Linked DNA regions of Anolis sagrei. The protein of the gene in region 1 interacts with the protein of each later gene in a pairwise test. Links are inferred from orthologs where the notes say so. Each region holds a gene or a part of one and is shown in the gene's direction. Other genes may lie near its edges.

What was found.
Region 2: the proteins of AIDA (region 1) and PINX1 interact in binary tests that used the Homo sapiens proteins (3 or more experiments, as listed by UniProt). The link is inferred for Anolis sagrei from reciprocal best matches to the Homo sapiens genes AIDA and PINX1.

What each region holds. Positions count from the first base shown.
Region 1 is NC_090021.1:37,978,511-37,987,938, reverse strand, and holds the start of AIDA (axin interactor, dorsalization-associated protein), read left to right. Parts: upstream 1-5,662; 5' UTR 5,663-5,829; coding exon 5,830-5,939; intron 5,940-9,428. UniProt on the Homo sapiens protein: Acts as a ventralizing factor during embryogenesis. Inhibits axin-mediated JNK activation by binding axin and disrupting axin homodimerization. This in turn antagonizes a Wnt/beta-catenin-independent dorsalization pathway activated by AXIN/JNK-signaling.
Region 2 is NC_090021.1:9,240,662-9,250,030, reverse strand, and holds the start of PINX1 (PIN2/TERF1-interacting telomerase inhibitor 1), read left to right. Parts: upstream 1-5,337; 5' UTR 5,338-5,387; coding exon 5,388-5,406; intron 5,407-7,050; coding exon 7,051-7,160; intron 7,161-9,273; coding exon 9,274-9,366; intron 9,367-9,369. UniProt on the Homo sapiens protein: Microtubule-binding protein essential for faithful chromosome segregation. Mediates TRF1 and TERT accumulation in nucleolus and enhances TRF1 binding to telomeres. Inhibits telomerase activity. May inhibit cell proliferation and act as tumor suppressor.

The sequences.
Region 1 (9,428 bases):
TCTTAGAACATTTCTGTAACAACCAATATTCTTATCGGTTTGATACATATACTGACCTTTAACAAGGTAAAAAGCTTACATTTATTCCTTTTATATCAATGTTTTTACAGGCTTTACATACATTATAAAAATTAACAATGGATTGAGAAACTGTCATCCCCCATCCATTGTCCATGTCACTGGTCTATGTTGTCTGCCATGAAAGCAAGCTGAAATCCAACAATATCTGGAGGGCACTCTAGACCCTTATACACATTGTAACCATGCAATATTTCTTAGCAGGACACTTGAGAGCATAATCTACTGCACAGGCTTATTTTATTAATAACGGCAATACTGAAATCTTTTCCATTTGTAAAGGACATAATCAAGAGCTGTCACCCTGAGAGTTATATGAATGCAGAAGGACAACTGTACATGCATCCAGAAATGTTTTTGAACTGTTTGTTGTAGCTACTTATGTGATTCAATACGTAAAGTGTTTTAAAATGAAAAGCATTTTTCTAATCAATTGAATATCAGCTTGTAAAAAAACTTCAGCATTAGTGACTCAATGAGCTAGTTTGAGGAATCATTTTGAAGAGGAACTATATTAACTGAATGAGTATTATACACAAAAGATGCTAGAATATATTGTGGGGTCCAGTTCTGTAAACTAATGACAAGAAAACTATATAAGCTGTAGTATATGAGGTCTATAATTCTCTGCACATGGATTCCTGAGGTACATCTCCTACCCTAATTTCTCCCCAAATATTCTCTATACAGCATAAGAAGGGAGATGATGATCCATCCTCTGCAATGTGGCAGGGCTCATGGAGCACTGCTTGCCACAGTTCTAATCAGAGCATTACATTTATTTTAAAATGGATTTTGTTATATCATATCTCATCGTAATCTCCACACATTGTGACACTGGACCGAGTGTTTTCCATACTAGATTTCATATCCACCCAAACATCAGCCAGTTTATATGCCGGAAAGAAGGGAGAGCTAACTCTTTCACACAGCAATAGATTTCACTTAAAAACAAATACCTGCCTTTAAAAATGCTCTGTACATGCTCAGGAACTCTATACATCCCTGAGAATAACAGTTTCCATTGAATTAGTCTTCCACATGTATATGATGAGAATCCCTTATTCAAAAGGCTTGAGAATGCCAGAAGTGGACTTTCCCCCCAGATGTTTGACTATCTCCATATCTATAAGGAGATATCTTGGAGGTGGCAACAGAGCCTAAACAAAATTCATACACACCTTATACACATAACCTGTACAGTATTTTAAATACTTTTGTCCATGAAACAGTTTGTATACACTAAATCACCATCTACCATTCAGGTGGACAATTTTGGAGCACTTCGGGTTTCCAGAAAAGGAAGGCTCAAGCTATTGGCTAAAACCTTTCTTTTCAGCAAGCTTTACAGAAGAAGGTTTTTAAAGAGCGAACCAGGGGTGTCATTTTAGCTATGTGAATAGGTTTTTAATGGTTCTGTTTGATTTTAATCATTTCAATATTGAATCGCATTTTAATGTTTGTATGTTTTAAATTATACATTGTATTGTTTTTAGTGTTAGTTGTTTTGGGTCTTTTCATAGAATCATAAAGTTGGGAGAGACCTCGAGGGCCATTTTTTGAGAATGGTCGTTTGATACTTCCAAGATGCCTCACTGTGCAATATTAGTTTTTTTTTTTTAAAAAAGTGGCATTTGAACTGATCCTTCCATGCTGTGATGAGTTAAAGCGCAGTATTTTCAAAACGTAAGAATCAGGTGTATACTCTGTTTATATCAGCTCGCATCTTATCTGAATGCAGTATGCATCCAGGTCTAAAAAAATTATAGAATCATAGAATTGAAAGAGACCTTGTGGGCCATCCAGTCCAACCCCTTGCCAAGAAGCAGGGAAATCACATTCAAGACACACCCAACAGATGGTCATCCAGCCTCTGTTTAAAAGCCTCCAAAGAAGGCGCCTCCAACACACTTCAGGGCAGAGGGTTCTACTGCTGAACAGCTTTCACAGTTAGGAAGTTCTTCCTAATGTTCATGTAGAATCTCCTTTCCTGTAGTTTGAAGCCATGGTTCTGTGTCCTAGTCTCCAAGGCAGCAGAAAACAAGACCGCTTCCTCCTCCCTATGACTTCCCTTCACATCTTGATACGTGGCCATCATGTCTCCTCTCAGCCCTCTTTGTCTTCTCCAGGCTAAACATGCCCAACTCTTTGAGCCGCTCCTCAAAGGGTTTGTTCTCCAGAGCCTCAATCATTTTAGTCACCCTCCTCTAGACACATTCCAGCTTGTCAACATTTCCCTTCAACTGCAGTGCCCAGAATTGGACACAGTATTCCAGGTGTGGAATACACAGGGTTTTTTAAAAAAAAGATAAATCAGGATACAAGTAAATATAGTTTTATTTTATTTATACCCCACCTTTTCTGCCATAGGCACTCAAGGGAGGGGGAGTAACAACCACATCGTCATCATATAGTAAGGTCTATGAGGCATAGGTGTTTCCTCACTGATGCTGCAAACAAGCAGGAAACCAAGTCAGAAATAATACTGATTGACACCGCTTCAATGGAAATGGCGCAATGCTTTGGAATCCTGAAAGTTGTAGTTTGGGCAGAGGCGGCCCTAGGTAATTTTCAATGGTAAGCAAACGGTATTTTGCCCCCCCCCCCAAACCAATCACTGATATATATTTTCTGTTCGTCATGGGAGTTCTGTGTGCCATATTTGGTTCAATTCCATCATTGGTGGAGTTCAGAATGCTCTTTGATTTTAGGTGAACTATACAGTACATTCCAGTAACTACAACTCACATATGTCAAGGTCTATTTTCCCCCAAGAGTGCCTCAAGAGTGCCCCTGGGCAAAATAAACTATACTGCAAATGCTTACTTTGCGTAATGGGTTGAGCCGCCCCTGAGTTTGGGCACCCACACTCTTGGGTAGAAAAGGATAACGACCTTGTGTAATTACAACTCCTGTGAACCCATAGCATTGAGCTATAGTGGTCAATGTGGAGTCAAACAGCATTAATTCTACCGTGCAGCCCCCCTCCCCCCTTCAAACACCATCCTTCCCAGTACTCTGTGGTTCCCAACCTTTGGTGTTTTGGACTTCAGCTTCCACAATTCCTAACAGCTGGCAAACTGGCTATGATTTCTAGGAGTTGAAGTTCAAAACAACTGCAAGACCAAAGATTGGGAACTACTGCACTACATAAACTGGCTATTTCCCCAGCCTAGACTCTGGAAACCAGGGTTCAAATCCCTGCTTGGCCATGAAACCCATTTTGGGCAAGTCACACTCTCTCAGCCTCAGAGGAAGGCAATGGCAAGTCTCCTCTGAACAAGTCTGCTCAAGCAAACCCTACGATGGGTTCTCCTTTGGACCCCCATAAGTATGAAACAACGGAGCCTCGCAGGCTTCCAGCCAAAGCGCCTCGCCCTTATTGTCAGCCACGTTCCCAGAAACTGTCGCCTCTATTTACCTTCTGTCTCCAGGGAGCACTTCCTGCCGGAGCCGAAACCACGACGACCACTTCCGGTCGAGGGGGTGGAGGCCGCTAGGAAGAAAACACGGAAGTAGAGCGTTCTCTCTCACCTCTCTATGGTACAGGACTCCACAGAACCCTTGTTGGGCCAAGCTGTTTGGACTTCAACTCCCAGAAGCCTCAGCCGCCTGGAGCAACGTTCAAGGATTCTGGGAAATGAAGTCAGTTATTGAGAAGGCTGGAGTTCTGCAGGCCATGAATTACTATCTGCTCAACTTTGCCTGTCGTTTGGAAGCTGCACAAAAAAGAGCCCTATGCAGTAAATATTTACAAAAACAAAACACTACAGCAGGTATGGGCAAACTTGGGCCCTCCAGGTGCTTTGGATTTCAACTCCCACCATTCCTAACAGCCTCAGGCCCCTTCCTTTCCCCCCTCAGCCGCTTAAGCGGTTGAGGGGGGAAAGGAAGGGGCCTGAGGCTGTTAGGAATGATGGGAGTTGAAGTCCAAAGCACCTGGAGGGCCCAAGTTTGCACTACACTATACTTGCTCTGCATTTCAACCCTTTCCTGGTGAAACCTATGACAAAACTATTTCAGTTGGGAGAAAAAAATATGACAAACCTGCCTGTCACTCACCTGTGACGTAGGAGATTCCCCACCCGAGAGAAGCCCCGAGGAAGCAGATCCAAATATGGTTCACGAGGAAAGGGCCGGCGGCGTAACTTCGGCAGCAGGACGACCCCTCTCGTAGGCTCCCCGGGAGTCCCAGCGGATCACGTGATCTTCAGTGCCCTGGCAAGAGGGCGGAAGTGCTTCATTTGGTAAGCAACCAGCCAGGCGAGTTGCCCGGTCTAGCAATGGCGGCTGAAGGCCTTTCCCTGCCTTAGGGGCATCTAAGTCCACGAGAACCAATGCCTTGAGAAAGGCGTAATTTTTGTCACCGTCCCATAAAATTCAGAAAAGTATGTGTGTGTGTGTGTGTATACAAATTTTGTGTATACAAAGTTTGTCACTGCCTCCACGTTTTCTCCCTCTATTTCCCAGTTGTCAATCATTTTTGACCAATCATGGTTTTTTTAATGTTTAACCCTCCTGTTCAAGGAGCTCCACTGGCTGCCGTTTATTTTCCGAGCCCAATTTAAGGTGCAGGTGCTTACCTACAAAGCCCTAAACGGTTTGGGACCAGCCTACCTGCGTGACCGTATCTCCGTTTACGAACCCACGCGCTCACTTCGTTCATCCAGAGAGGCCCTGCTTGTGATCCCGCCAGCGTCACAGGCGCGTTTGGTGGGGACGCGAGACAGGGCCTTTTCTGTGGTGGCCCCCCCGACTCTGGAACACCCTCCCAAAAGACCTAAGACAGGCCCCTACATTGGCAGTCTTTAGAAAGAACTTGAAGACCTGGCTGTTCCGATGTGCCTTCCCAGAATAGGAAATCTCCAATACCAAGTCCCATAAGCACTTTAGTAGAACTGAGATTGCTGCACACCGCACACTGCACTTGCCCTATAATCCTTACATATCACCTGTCATATCAGCACTTTTAATCTTGTACCCATTATTCTGGCCTGGCCCAGTTTTATAGTGTCTTGATGTATTGTTTATTGCTTGTTGTTTACTATTGCTTTAATTGTTTTTAATTTGCTTTAGGTGTTGTATTTTGTTGACGGCGGTCAACAAAAATGCAGTATTGTTATGTTGTGTTTTGAGGCCTTGGCCTTTGTAAGCCACATCGAGTCTTTCGGGAGATGCTAGCGGGGTACAAATGAAGTTAATAATAATAATAATAATAACTGCAACCAAGCTTTTGTGCTTTCTTCTTTCACCTTGATTAGAAGGCACCTTAATCAACCCTTAATAAACTCCCACAATTGTGGGAGTTGAAGACCAAAACACCTGGAGGAGGGCCGAAGTTTGTCCATGCCTGGCCTACAATGAGTGTTTGGCTGTAAATCCTTAGCCGTATACAACCTATTCGCGGACCCCTTGGGTATGCAATGATGCAATGAGTTCATAACTCTAAGCGTCTAGCTCTATGTTCTCTTCCTTTGGGTTAGCAATGGACAGCGCCCCCATGGAGGGAAAAGGAGGAAGGAAGGCGGGTCCGGCACAACCTAACCTGATGCGGAGGGGCGTGGCCAGCACAGAGGCGGTGGCTGGCTGCAGCTGCCTCGGCGGCGAGGAGCAGGTTTGGTTGCGATGGCAGCAGGGCTGGGTCGGTGAGTGAGGAGGGCGCGGCGGTTGCCCGGAGCGAGCCCTGCCTGCCCGCCCTCCCTGCCTCCCGGCCCCGGGGGCCAACATGATGCCCTAGCAGCGCTGGGAGCCATGTCGGAAGCGGCCCGGAGCCTCCTGCAGCGCTGGGGCGCCAGCTTCAGGAAAGGGACCGATTTCGACTCCTGGGGGCAGCTGGTGGAGGCCACCGACGAGTATCAGATGTGAGTCAGGCGGGAGGAGGGAGGCCTTGGCTGGAGCGTGATCCTGAGCCGGGCATCTCCACTGTCAAACTAATGAGGTTGGACACCACTTCAACTGCCATGGCTCAGTGTTAGGGAATCTTGGGAGTTTTAGTTTTACAGGGTGCCAAAGAGTGAAGGTGCTAAACTACAAATCCCAGGATTCCATCACATAGGGCCATGGCCGTTCAAGTGGGGTCAAATCGCATTCATTCTACAATGTAGATGCAAGGCCAACAACTCTGTGCCATCCCACTCCTGGCAGAGATAGAAGAGATAGGGGTGCATCTGTTTTGCTTTTCGAGGTTTCATCTACACTGTGGAATTAATTCAGTTTAATGCCACTTGAACTGCCATGGGACAATCCGATGGAATCCTGGGAATTGTAATTTGCACTATTTGGCAGAGAATGCTCTAGAGTAGACCTTATTAAGACTACAACTCTCAGGATTCCATCGCATGGAGCCATGGCAGTTCAAGTGGTGTCAAACTGACTTAGTTCAACAGTGCAGATACACCCTAGAAAAGCAGCTCTGGAAGGGGGAACATCAACAGGCTTCAGCTGCGTAGTTTCAGAGAGAGGAAACAATAATAGTGGGTTGTTCTAGGTTTTTTCGGGCTATATGGCCATGTTCTAGAGCAGTGGTTCTCAACCTGGGGTCCCCAGATGTTTCTGGCCTACAACTCCCAGAAATCCCAGCCAGTTTACCAGCTGTTAGGATTTCTGGGAGTTGAAGGCCAAAAACATCTGGGGAACCCAGGTTGAGAACCACTGTTCTAGAGGCATTCTCTCCTGACATTTCACCTGCATCTATGGCAAGCATCCTCAGAGGTATGCTTGCCATAGATGCAGGCAAAACGTCAGGAGAGAATGCCTCTAAAACATGGCCATATAGCCCGAAAAAACCTACAACAACCCAGTGATTCCGGCCATGAAAGCCTTCGACAATACATTGAACATAATAATAAAAACAATGGGTTGCTGTAAGTTTTTCGGGATGTATGGCCATGATCCAAAAGCATTCTCTCCTGACATTTCGCCTGCATCTATGGCAGGCATCCTCAGAGGTTGTGAGCTCTGTTGGAAACTAGGAAAATGTGGTGCATATATCTGTGGAATGTCAAGGGTGGAAATAAGTACTCTTGTCTGTTGGAGCTAGGTTTTTTTTTTTGTCGTGTCAGGAGTGATTTGAGAAACTGCAAGTTGCTTCTGGTGTGAGAGAATTGGCCGTCTGCAAGGACGTTGTCCAGGGGACGCCCGGATGATTTGATGTTTTTATCATCCATGTGGGAGGCTTCTCTCATGTCCCCGCATGAGGAGCTGGAACTGATAGAGGAAGCTCATCCGCCTCTCCCCGGATTCGAACCTGTCGGTCTTCAGTCCTGCCAGCACAGGGGTTTAACCCACTGTGCCACCGGGGGAATGGTGATGATAACTGTAAATGGGGCAACAACGGGGTGATGCTCTCGAGTCCTAGAATATATCATACTGCTACTCAGGTACAGAAAGCTTCATTGTGTCACTATGTCAATTCCTAGAAGTAGTTCTCCCAACAAAACACGATTAGTATGTAATAGATCACCTAACAGTGAGAGGATTATAATTATGGAGCTAGGTGTGAATGTTTCAATTGGCCACCTTGGTTAACATTTGATGGCCTAGAAGTTCTCAGGGTGTGACCTCTTACTGCCTGTGAGCATGCTTTGTTGAGAGGTGATTAGCAAGAAAACAGTCCTTTCTCCCACCCTGGACATTCCACAAATATATAAACCCCATTTTCCTAGTTTCCAACAGACCTCACAACCTCTGAGGATGCCTGCCATAGATGCAGGTGAAACATCAGGAGAGAAAACTTCTGAAACATGACCATACAGCCCAAAAAACTTACAGAAACCCAGTGATTCCAGCCAAGAAAGCCTTCGACAACACAATAAAAACAATAACACTTGCAGTAATAATAATAATAATAATAATGCTTGGGAAGTGTTTGACTTGTGATTTTGTGATACGAAACCCAGCATATATATCTTGTTTGCTGTGACATGCCGTGTTTTTGTGTCAATAAAATAATAATACAGAGAAGCTGGAGTGAATGTGAACTTTGAAAAAGGAGGCGGAAGGCCTGATTCTTGCAGCCCAAGAACAAGCAATTAGAACAAATGCCATCAAAGCCAGAATCGAAAAGTCAACTAGAAATCCCAAGTGTAGACTCCTCAAGGAAGCAGATGAAACAATAGATCACATACTCAGCTGCTGCAAGAAGATCGCACAGACGGACTACAAGCAGAGGCATAATACTGTTGCTCAGATGATCTATTGGAACTTGTGCCACAAATAACATCTGCCTGTGACAAAGAACTGGTGGAATCACAAAGCTAAAGTTATAGAAAGTGAACATGTCAAACTACTCTTGAACCTCGGAATTCAGACTGGCAGAGTTTTGGAGCACAATACTCCTTACCTCCTTACCTCACGATTGTGGGAATAAAACGAAGTATGGATCATCAATGTTGCAGTCCCAGGTGACAACAGAATTGAAGAGAACCAACTGGAAAAGCTGACATGATATGAGGATTTAAAGACCGAACTGCAGGGACTCTGATACAAGCCAGTAAAGATGGTCCCAGTGGTGACCGGAACACTGGGTGCAGTGCCTAAAGACCTTGGCCAGCACTTAAAAACAATTGGTGCTGACAAAATTACCATCTGTCAGTTGCAAAGGGCTACCCTACTCAGATCTGTATGCATTATTCGCCAATACATCACACAGGCATAGTCACTTGGGAAGTGTCCTACGTGTGATCAAATACAAAACCCAGCATAATGATTTTGTTTGCTGTGTACTAATCTTGTTGTGTATCAAATAATGCAGAAAAGCTGGAGTGAATGTGGAGTCTGTAAGAGTTCAATTGTGATGTCCCTAAGGCTTTTGTTTTGATGGGAAAATGGTCCTGCCTCCTGTGATGAGCCTTTGGGTGGTGGCTTCCTCTCCCAGGTCTGGTTCACTGAATGCATCTAACACTGTAGAATGAATGCAGCTTGAAACCATTTCAACTTCCATGGCTCCATGCTACACAATCCTAGGATTTGTAGTTTGATGGAGCACTTCCATTCTTTGGCAAAGAAGGCTCAATACCGTGTGAAGTTACAACTTCCTGGATTCCATAGCATTGAGTCATAGCAGTTAACACGGTGTCAAACTGCATTAATTCTACAATATAGAATATGCACACAAAGAAAAACCATATATTATCATATATCAGAGGTTCTCAATTTGTGGGTCCCCAGATGTTTTGGCCTTCAACTCCCAGAAATCTTAACAGCTGGTAAACTGGCTGGGTTTTCTGGGAGTTGTAGGCCAAAAAACCTGGGGACCCACAGGTTGAGAACCACTGCCATATATCAACAAGTAATCTGAAGGCACATAACTGAATTGGGACAGGAGTTTTCAGTTTTATTAATCATTTGCC
Region 2 (9,369 bases), about 29 Mb from region 1:
GTGTTGGGCTGATTATTTCTCTTCATCGTCGAGTTCTTCACATTGATGACGAGTTGTTCAATGAGCTTCAGCTGGAAGCAGGTAAGTGTTGCACTCTAGCCTTGGAACACCTTTTCATAACAACAACAACAACAACAACAACAACAACAACAACACTGTATTTATATCCTGCCCTATCTCCCGAAGGGAACTCAGGGCAGATCACAGTATACCTGTGAGTGTGGAGAAGAGCAAATCACTGACCACCTGCTGCAATGCAACATGCACAATGGAGGACCTCCATTGCAAACTTTGTGTTTTGTCTGTTTGTTTGTTTTCTTAAAAATGTAATACAACTGTCTGGTTGCTCCTGACATGATAAATAAATAAATACAGTATACCTACACTGCAAACATACAATGCCATTTTGGATAGACAGGACAGAGACAGACAGAACAGAAAGGAGGTATGTTGTGTTGACGTCCAGATTTTTTGGCGCCTTAGAGGTTGTGCTCAAATCCAGCCACAGGGAGGTGTTTTCACTCCATCCTCTCTGATGAGGAGCCATCAGGACTTCCTCCTTCCTTTTGGTCACTGGGAATTTTCTGAATGCTTTCTTTATAGTGTCGTAAAATACCTCCCCCACTTGTTTTAGTGGTACTTAATTTCTCTAATTAGAGCTCAAGATGGTTTTTTGGCACCTTGGAGGTTGTTATCGAATCCAGCCACAGGGGGGTGCTGTCGCTCCATCCTCTCTAAAAAAATTTTTTTGTCGTATCAGGAGTGACTCCTGGTGTGAGAGAATTGGCCGTCTGCAAGGACGTTGCCCAGGGGACGCCTGGATGATTTGATGTTTTTACCATCCTTGTGGGAGGCTTCTCTCATGTCCCCGCATGAGGAGCTGGAGCTGATAGAGGGAGCTCATCCGCCTCTTCCCAGATTTGAACCTGCGACCTGTCAGTCTTCAGTCCTGCCGGCACAGGGGTTTAACCCACTGTGCCACCGGGGGCTCCATCCTCTCTGATGAGGAGCCATCAGGACTTCCTCCTTCCTTTTGGTCACTGGGAATTTTCTGAACGTTTTCTTTATGGTGTCGTAAAATACCTCCCCCACTTGTTTTAGCAGTACTTAATTCCTCTAATTAGAGCTCAAGCTGTTTTTGAACTGCTTAGGTCAACAGTAGGCTGGGCTGACAGTCAGCAGCTAACGCCGACCTGGGGCTTCAAACTGGCAACCTTTCAGTTGGAAGATCTTATCATTGCTGGTGATTTACTAGCTGTACTAAAGCCCCAGCCCCACACAGAGTCCAGTAGTAACTACCCTGTTTCCCTGAAAATAAGACAAACCCATAAAATAAGACATAGTGATAGACATGGCTATGCAGCATACAAGGTCGGCTCCCACTGTCAAGTCCTTGTCATTCTATGCGTGCTGCAAGCTGAGACATAGAAGGAGACATAGGAAGTGAAAGTAAAAGTCTCCTCAGTGAAATGGGGAGCAGGACGCTCTCCTTTGGATATTGTGTGTGCTCAGGAGAAAGAAGTAAAGCTGTGGCTACTGTTTTACTTTCTCCCCCAGCACCAAGCAGCAGCAGTCTGTGGGTCTCTCTCACCCCACACAAACACTGGTAAAGCTCACTACCTCTGAGGATGCTTGCCATAGATGCAGGCAAAACGTCAGGAGAGAATGCCTCTAGATCATGGCCATATAGCCTGAAAAAACCTACAACAATCCACCGGTAAAGCTGCTGCTCCACAGCACTGACCAGCAACAGTCTGTGGGACTCTCTCACCCCACACAAATACCATAAATAGGGAAAAAGCTTCAGCAAGGAGTCTCCTACTGAGCCCTGAGAGATCATCCCATAAATGCAGATTGTTGTACCATCTATATATATATAAATGCTCATGTCGTAATGAGTGGCTTAAAAACAAAAGAACAGCTGGGCCAGTACCTACCAAATTTGGCAACAAAATGTCTCACTACACAAGGAGTGACCATCAATCAAAAAATTATGATTTTGTCATTTGGGAGTTGTAGTTGCTGGGATTTATAGCTCACCTACAATCAAAGAGCATTCTGAACTCCACCAACAATGGAATTGAACCAAACTTGGCACACAGAACTTCCATGACCAACAGAAAATACTGGAAAGGTTTGGAGGGCATTGACCTTGAGTTTGGGAGTTGTAGTCCACCTATATCCAGAGAGCACTGTGGACTCAAACAATGATGGATCTGGACCAAATTTGGCATGAATATTCAATATGCCCAAATATAAACACAGATGGAGTTTGGGGGAAATAGACCTTGACATTTGGGAGTTGTAGTTACTGGGATTTATAGTTCACCTACAATCAAGAAGCATTCCGAACCTCACCAACGATGGAATTGGGCCAAACATCCTACACAAAACCCCCATGACCAACAGGAAATACTGTGTTTCCTGGTGGTCTTTGGTGACCCTTCTGATACCCCCCTGGTGTATTGACACCCCCCTTGGTGTATTGACTTCCCAGGTTGAGAAATGCTGCCTTAAGGCCACCCAGTCCAGCTCCCTTCACCAGGGCAACAAAACAAAGCCCTCCTGACAAAGGGCCATCCAGCCATTCATATGCACACACATATATGTATATGACAGATGCAGTATCAAAGATTTCAAAGGGACCCCTAAAGAAGGACAATGATATGTTACATGTTCCAGAGTAGGCAAACCAGACAATCTCCACATCAACACTGGCAAAGAAACAACAAGAAATACTGTTTACCCTCAAGCATAAAGACATTACATATATTAGAAACCAACACATTCTCATTACTTCATCTCCAGATCACCAGACTGGGCCACAGCAACGCGTGGCAGGGGACAGCTAGTACTTAATAAAAAAAGAAGATATCCCCTGAACATAAGCCATACTATGTCTTCTTGAGGAGAAATAAATATAAGAGACTGTCTTATTTTGGAGGAAACACGGTAACTTACTACAGCAGTTTATTTACAGAAAGCATATAGAAAACGGAAAAAGGCATCTCCCAAAAAACAGTATAAAAGTAGCTATGAAATAGCAATAGTTCGTATGGACAAAGATCAATTGTCCAAAATAGCCAATTACATGAAATCCAGGAAGTCAAGAGCATAGGCATAAATCCATAAGCAAGAAGACAGGAAATTTTCCAAAGCAAAACTCTATCAGGAACATAGGCAAATACAAGAGACTCGATTCATGAACTTGAGAACTGAAACAGGAACTTGATTCTATGGCAATGTTGTATGCTCTGGAGATACCAAGTAAACATCACTTAATTTAAGCACAAACCTGACCGAGAAGCCATGAGGTCATCTCTTTGACACCTGCATTTCATGGATTTCTCACGGAGTCTTTCTGAACACCAAATTAATCTATCCTTCACTCCCTCCATGCAGAGGCCTAATCTGATATCACGGGAAAATTCCCCATCTGCTGAATCTTCCTCTGAAAGCCAATTCCCATGAAAAATGGAATGGATATTGGAATCCCAGACAACCTCTGTCTCCAGCACTTCTCTCTGATCTAAGGCCTGCAAATCACCCTGATCGCACACAGATCCCTTGCACGCAGCTGAACAAAATCCCACATTTTCTGCTTTGAACTGGGCTATATGACAGTGTGGACTCAGATAACCCAGGGCCCTTCCACACAGCCCTATATCTCAGAATATCAAGGCAGAAAATCCCACAATATTTGCTTTGAACTGGGTTATCTGAGTCCACACCACCATATATTCCAGTTCAAAGGTTGCCAGTTTGTGTACCTTAGAGTCTTCAGAAGTCAGAAATGATTTAAAGGCACACAACTACAAAATACATTTTGCTAAGTGAAATAAGGGAAAATAATAATAAACTTTATTTATATTCCACTTTATTTCAGAGTGGATTACAGTACACATATAAGGCAAACATTATTATTATTTGAAACACAACAAGATGAATCCACGGCAGACACTCTGTTGGCTGTTGTATTGGATCATCATCACTAGCTTACTCTTAGGTCTTTAAATGGTGTATACATTGGGTTGTTGTAGGTTTTTTTCGGGCTATATGGCCATGTTCTAGAGGCATTTCTCCTGACGTTTCGCCTGCATCTATGGCAAGCATCCTCAGAGGTAGTGAGGTCTGTTGGAACTAGGAAAAAGGGTTTATATATCTGTGGAATGACCAGGGTGGGACAAAGGACTCTTGTCTGGAGCTAGGTGTGAATGTTTCAACTGACCACCTTGATTTGATAGCCTGGCAGTGCCTGGAGCAATCTTTTGTTGAGAGGTGATTAGCTGTGCCTGATTGTTTTCCCTCTGCTGTTTTAATTTTAGAGTTTTTTTAATACTGGTAGCCAGATTTTGTTCATTTTCATGTTTTCCTCCCTTCTGTTGAAACTGTCCACATGCTTCTTGTGGATTTCAATGGCTTCTCTGTGTCGCCTGACGTGGTGGTTGTGAGAGTGGTCCAGCATTTCTGTGTTCTCAAATAATATGCGGTGTCCAGGTTGGTTCATCAGGTGCTTTGCTATAGAGGGAAGTGATTGCACTCTTTCCTGCTCTCTCTTTAGAAGGAGATAAACTACAAATCTGGGCTGACTAATAGGATCATAGAATCAAAGGATTATAGAGTTGGAAGAGACCAAATGGGACATCCAGTCCAACTCTAAACTGTATTAAAAACTCTAAAATTACAACAGCAAAAAAAAAAACAGAGGGGAAACAATCTGGGACATCTAATCACCTCTCAACAAAAGATTGCCCCAGGCCCTGCCAGGCCAACAAATGCTAATCAAGGTGGTCAGTTGAAACATTCACACCTAGCTCCAGCAGACAAGAGTTCTTTGTCCCATCCTGGTCATTCCACAGGTATATAAACCCTTTTTCCTAGTTCCAACAGACCTCACTACCTCTGAGGATGCTTGCCATAGATGCAGGCGAAACGTCAGGAGAGAATGCCTCTAGAACATGGCCATATAGCCCCAAAAAACCCACAAGAACCTTGTGTATACTATATATTCTTCTGGGACAAACTTTTGAAGGCAATACCATTCCTGTCCTACAGAGGGCGAACTCCCAAAAGTTTCCACCAACTCTCACTCTATCGCCTAAGCTTACTAAGACGGGTGGGGAATTGCAATTTAGCCGACTAACGTAGTGCCGGTTAGATTTTTCCCAACTCTATAAACCAAATAACGCATCCCAATTCCTCTTTTAAATCTCTCCCCGGCGTCTCAGCTTACACGCTTCTTCCTAACCCTGTTCTTTCTCCCTCGCGAGGCTTCCTTTGTGCCCGGCGTTTGAATTAGACTCCTAAGACCTTAGCAAGATGGCGGCAGGGAAGGTCACGGCGCGCCGGCGAGAGAGAAAGGACCCCAGGAGCGCTCCCTTCCCAAGATGGCGATGCTGGCAGAGCGTGAGTTTTGAACCGATGGGAAGGAATGGGATGGGGTTTTTCTAACCTTCAGAGGGAAGGGATGGCACCCTTGGCTGCTCTCTCTTTAGAAGGAGGTAAACTGCAAATCTGGGCTGACTCATAGGATCATAGAATCAAAGGATTATAGAGTTGGAAGGGGCCAAATGGGACATCCAGTCTAACTCCATTCTGCCATACAGGAAAAGCACAGTCAAAACACCCACAACAGATAGCCATCTAGCTTCTGTTTAAAAGCCTCCAAAGAAGGGGTGTCCACCACACTCCGAGGCAGAGAGTTCCACTGCTGAACAGCTCTCACAGTCAGGAAGTTCTTCCTCATGTTCAGGTGGAATCTCCTTTCCTGTAGTTTGAAGACATTGTTCCTTTGTGTCCTAGTCTCCAGGACAGCAGAAAACAAGCCTCCTCCCTCCTAGAGTTGGAAGAGACCTCATGGGCCATCCAGTCCAACCCCCTACCAAAAAGCAGGATAATTGCATTCAAAGCACCCCTGACAGATGGCCATCCAGCTTCTGCTTAAAAGCTTCCAAAGAAGGAGACTCCACCACACTCCGGGGCAGAGAGTTCCACGGCTGAACAGCTTGCTCCCTCCTCCCCATGACTTCCTCTCACATATTTATACATGGCTATCATATCTCCTCTCAGCCTTCTCTTCTTCAGGCTAAACATGCCCAGCTCTTTAACCCGCTCCTCATAGGGCTTGTTCTCCAGACCCTTGATCATTTTAGTCGCCCTCCTCTGAACACTTTCCAGCTTGTCAAGATCTCCCTTCAATTGTGGTGCCCAGAATTGGACACAATGCCCAGCTCTTTAACCCGCTCCTCATAGGGCTTGTTCTCCAGACCCTTGATCATTTTAGTTGCCCTTCTCTGGACACATTCCAGCTTGTCAATATCTCTCATCAATTGTGATGCCCAGAACCGGACACAATATTGCAGGTGTGGTCTAACCAAAACAGAATAGAGCATGGGTAGCATGACTTCCCTGGATCTAGACACTATGCTCCTAGTGATGCAGGCCAAAATCCCATTGGCTTTTTTTGCCGCCACAAAACAAAACCTAAGCTCATTTTGTGCTTTAGCCTTGTGAACCTTTTCCCTACAAGAGTTGACTATTTGTTTGAATTCTTCTTTGGTGATTTCTCCCTTTTTCTACTTCTTGTGCATGTCTCTTTTGAGTCTTAGCACAGTTAGAAGTTCTTTGGACATCCATTCTGGCTTCTTTGCACTTGTGATGAGATTTTTCAGTCCTCTTTGTTGCCTGGCTATCATTGCCAAGCATGGAGCTACTAGGCAAAGTGGACAGGCTTCCTGCAACTTTAATTAGGGTAGCCAGAGTGGAAACTGGAGAGGGCCACTACTTTAATTAGGATTGCCAGAGTGGAAACAGGAGAGGGCTACTGCACCTTTCATTAGGATTGCCAGAGTGGAAACGAGAGAGGGCTACTGCACCTTTCATTAGGATTGTCAGAATGGAAATAGGTCACAGTCATTTGATTCCTTTCCCAGTGCATTTGAGTTCTTTAAGGTTCCTCAGAGCAGTAAACAATGGCAGGAAGGAACAGCCAGATTTGAACTTAGTTGCCTATCTATGTGCAGGTCATGTAACCTTTTCTCTCTCTTGTAGCACGTCGCAAGCAAAAATGGTCTGTGGATCCTCGGAATAGTGCTTGGAGCAAAGATGAATCGAAATTTGGCCAGAAGATGTTGGAAAAAATGGGATGGTCGAAAGGCAAGGTACATAGATTCGGGACAGGGCAATAAAGTAGCAATAGGAAAGATTACCAGGCCTATTAGATTTGACACTGATGACCAGGACGGTTTTAAATTGTGTATTTCAATATTGAGATACATGTTTTTAATGTTTATGTATGCGTATATAAATTCTTGTCCCGGCATTGCATGTTTGCCGTTTATATGCTGTGCGCCGCCCTGAATCCCCTTCGGAGAGATAAGGGTGGAATGTAAATGTTTTAAATAAATCAACAAATAGCAAGATGAATAGCAAGACCTTACACAACAAGACCTTAGCAGTTCAAAGATAGTAGGAATGTCAGTGTCTTGAGTTCCAAAAATCCTATTCAACCTGAATGTCCCAAAATAGCCCCCCTTTTTGCAGATTGACAAACAAACAAGGACATTTTCTGCTAATTGGTTTCCCACGGGGTAGATAAAAATCAAAGAACAGAATCTTGTTAGTGTTTTAATTATGCATACATCCCCTTTTGGGATGAATGTCCATGTTCAGTTCAAGCTTGTGGAAGAAATGTTGTGCATGCAGTGCCACTCTCTATGGACACACATTGTATGTATAGTAATTAACAATCCTGCATCAAGAAGCTGAGAAAATCAGTCAGAAGCCTGGGAGACAAACCAGATAAAGAGTGCAGTCTGGAATCATGTCTGAGTCTTGAAGCTGGCAAGGAAGACTGGTTAAGTGTTGTTTCCTAGCACTTGTTTCCTAGCACGTGAGCTGTGTTTGTACCTTGCCTTATCCACCAAGACTTGACTGCTGAGCAAAGGCAGTTTGGTGGCTCCAAGTGAGATGCATGCACTTTCAGCTTGCCCCTGTGCTGGGCCAGATGGTCTCTTCAAAATATGACAGATAGATAGCACTCCATGCTTTTCCTACAGTTATCCAGTAGTTTGCTGATTTGTTTGATTATTAGTCCTCACTTTCACCAATCTGCTGACTCCTCAAACAGTTAGTTTTGACCTGTTTATCCCAAGTTTCCACCTATCGGCTCTAGTTTTTGAGATATAGAACACGTGGCATCTATTAGTCACCATCTGTTCCTTCATAGAAAACCATATCTTAGAAACTAGAGCTGATGCAGTCTATCCAATGCAGTTTTCCGGGAAGTCTGACTTGGCCATGGTGGTCCACGCTCTTGTTACATTCCGTATGGACTACTGTAACACTCTCTACGTGGGATTGCCTTTGAAGACTGTCCGGAAGCTTCATCTGGTCCAACGGACGGCAGCCAGGTTGCTAACTGGAGCGACTCTCAGGGAGCATACAACCCCCCCGTTGCACCAGCTCCACTGGCTGCCAGTCTGCTACCGGGCACAATTCAAAGTGCTGGCCTTGGCCTATAAAGCCCTAAATGGTTTTGACCCAACTTACCTGTCCGAACGCATCTCCCCTTATGAACCTTCGAGGGCCTTAAGATCATCTGGAGAGGCCCTGCTCTCGGTCCCACCATCGTCACAAGCATGGCTGACAGGGGCGAGAGACAGGGCCTTCTTAGTGGTGGCTCCTTGGCTATGGAACGCCCTTACTATTGAGATTAGATCGGCTTCTTCACTTTTAGTATTTCAGAAAAAACTCAAGACATGGCTATTTGAGCAGGCATTTGCGAATACTGAGTAACGGACATAAGAACGGAATCAACTACAGGATGGATTGGACATTGTTTTAATGGTTATTTATTGAATTATGTTTTATTACAGCTGTTATGATTTTATTGATGTTAAAATTTTTATATTGTAACTCTGTTTTTGGTGGTATTGAATTTTGCCTTGCAAACCGCCTCGAGTCGCCGGAAGGCTGACAGCAGCAGTATAAAAATACTGTAAATAAATAAATAAAATCAGCACGCCAAATAACTCCAGGAACAGGCCTAAAAACGAAGGCACCAAGATAATTTTTGTTTGGCTGCGTAATTCGATTTTGCTGTTCTTCTCCTGAAATGTGTGGTCAAGCATTTGAAATTAGTTTTTGTTACATACTTATTTTTTAATATATATATATATATATATCACGAGAAGGACAATTAAGGCGCCATATTGACAGGCAACAAGCTACGCTACCTGAAAATAAGCAGTTATCCAATTCTGTTTTTGCTAGGGACTTGGAGCTCAGGAGCAAGGCAACACGGAGCACATCCGGGTTCAAGTGAAGAACAACACATTGGGCTTAGGATCAACCATCAACCAAGAGGTG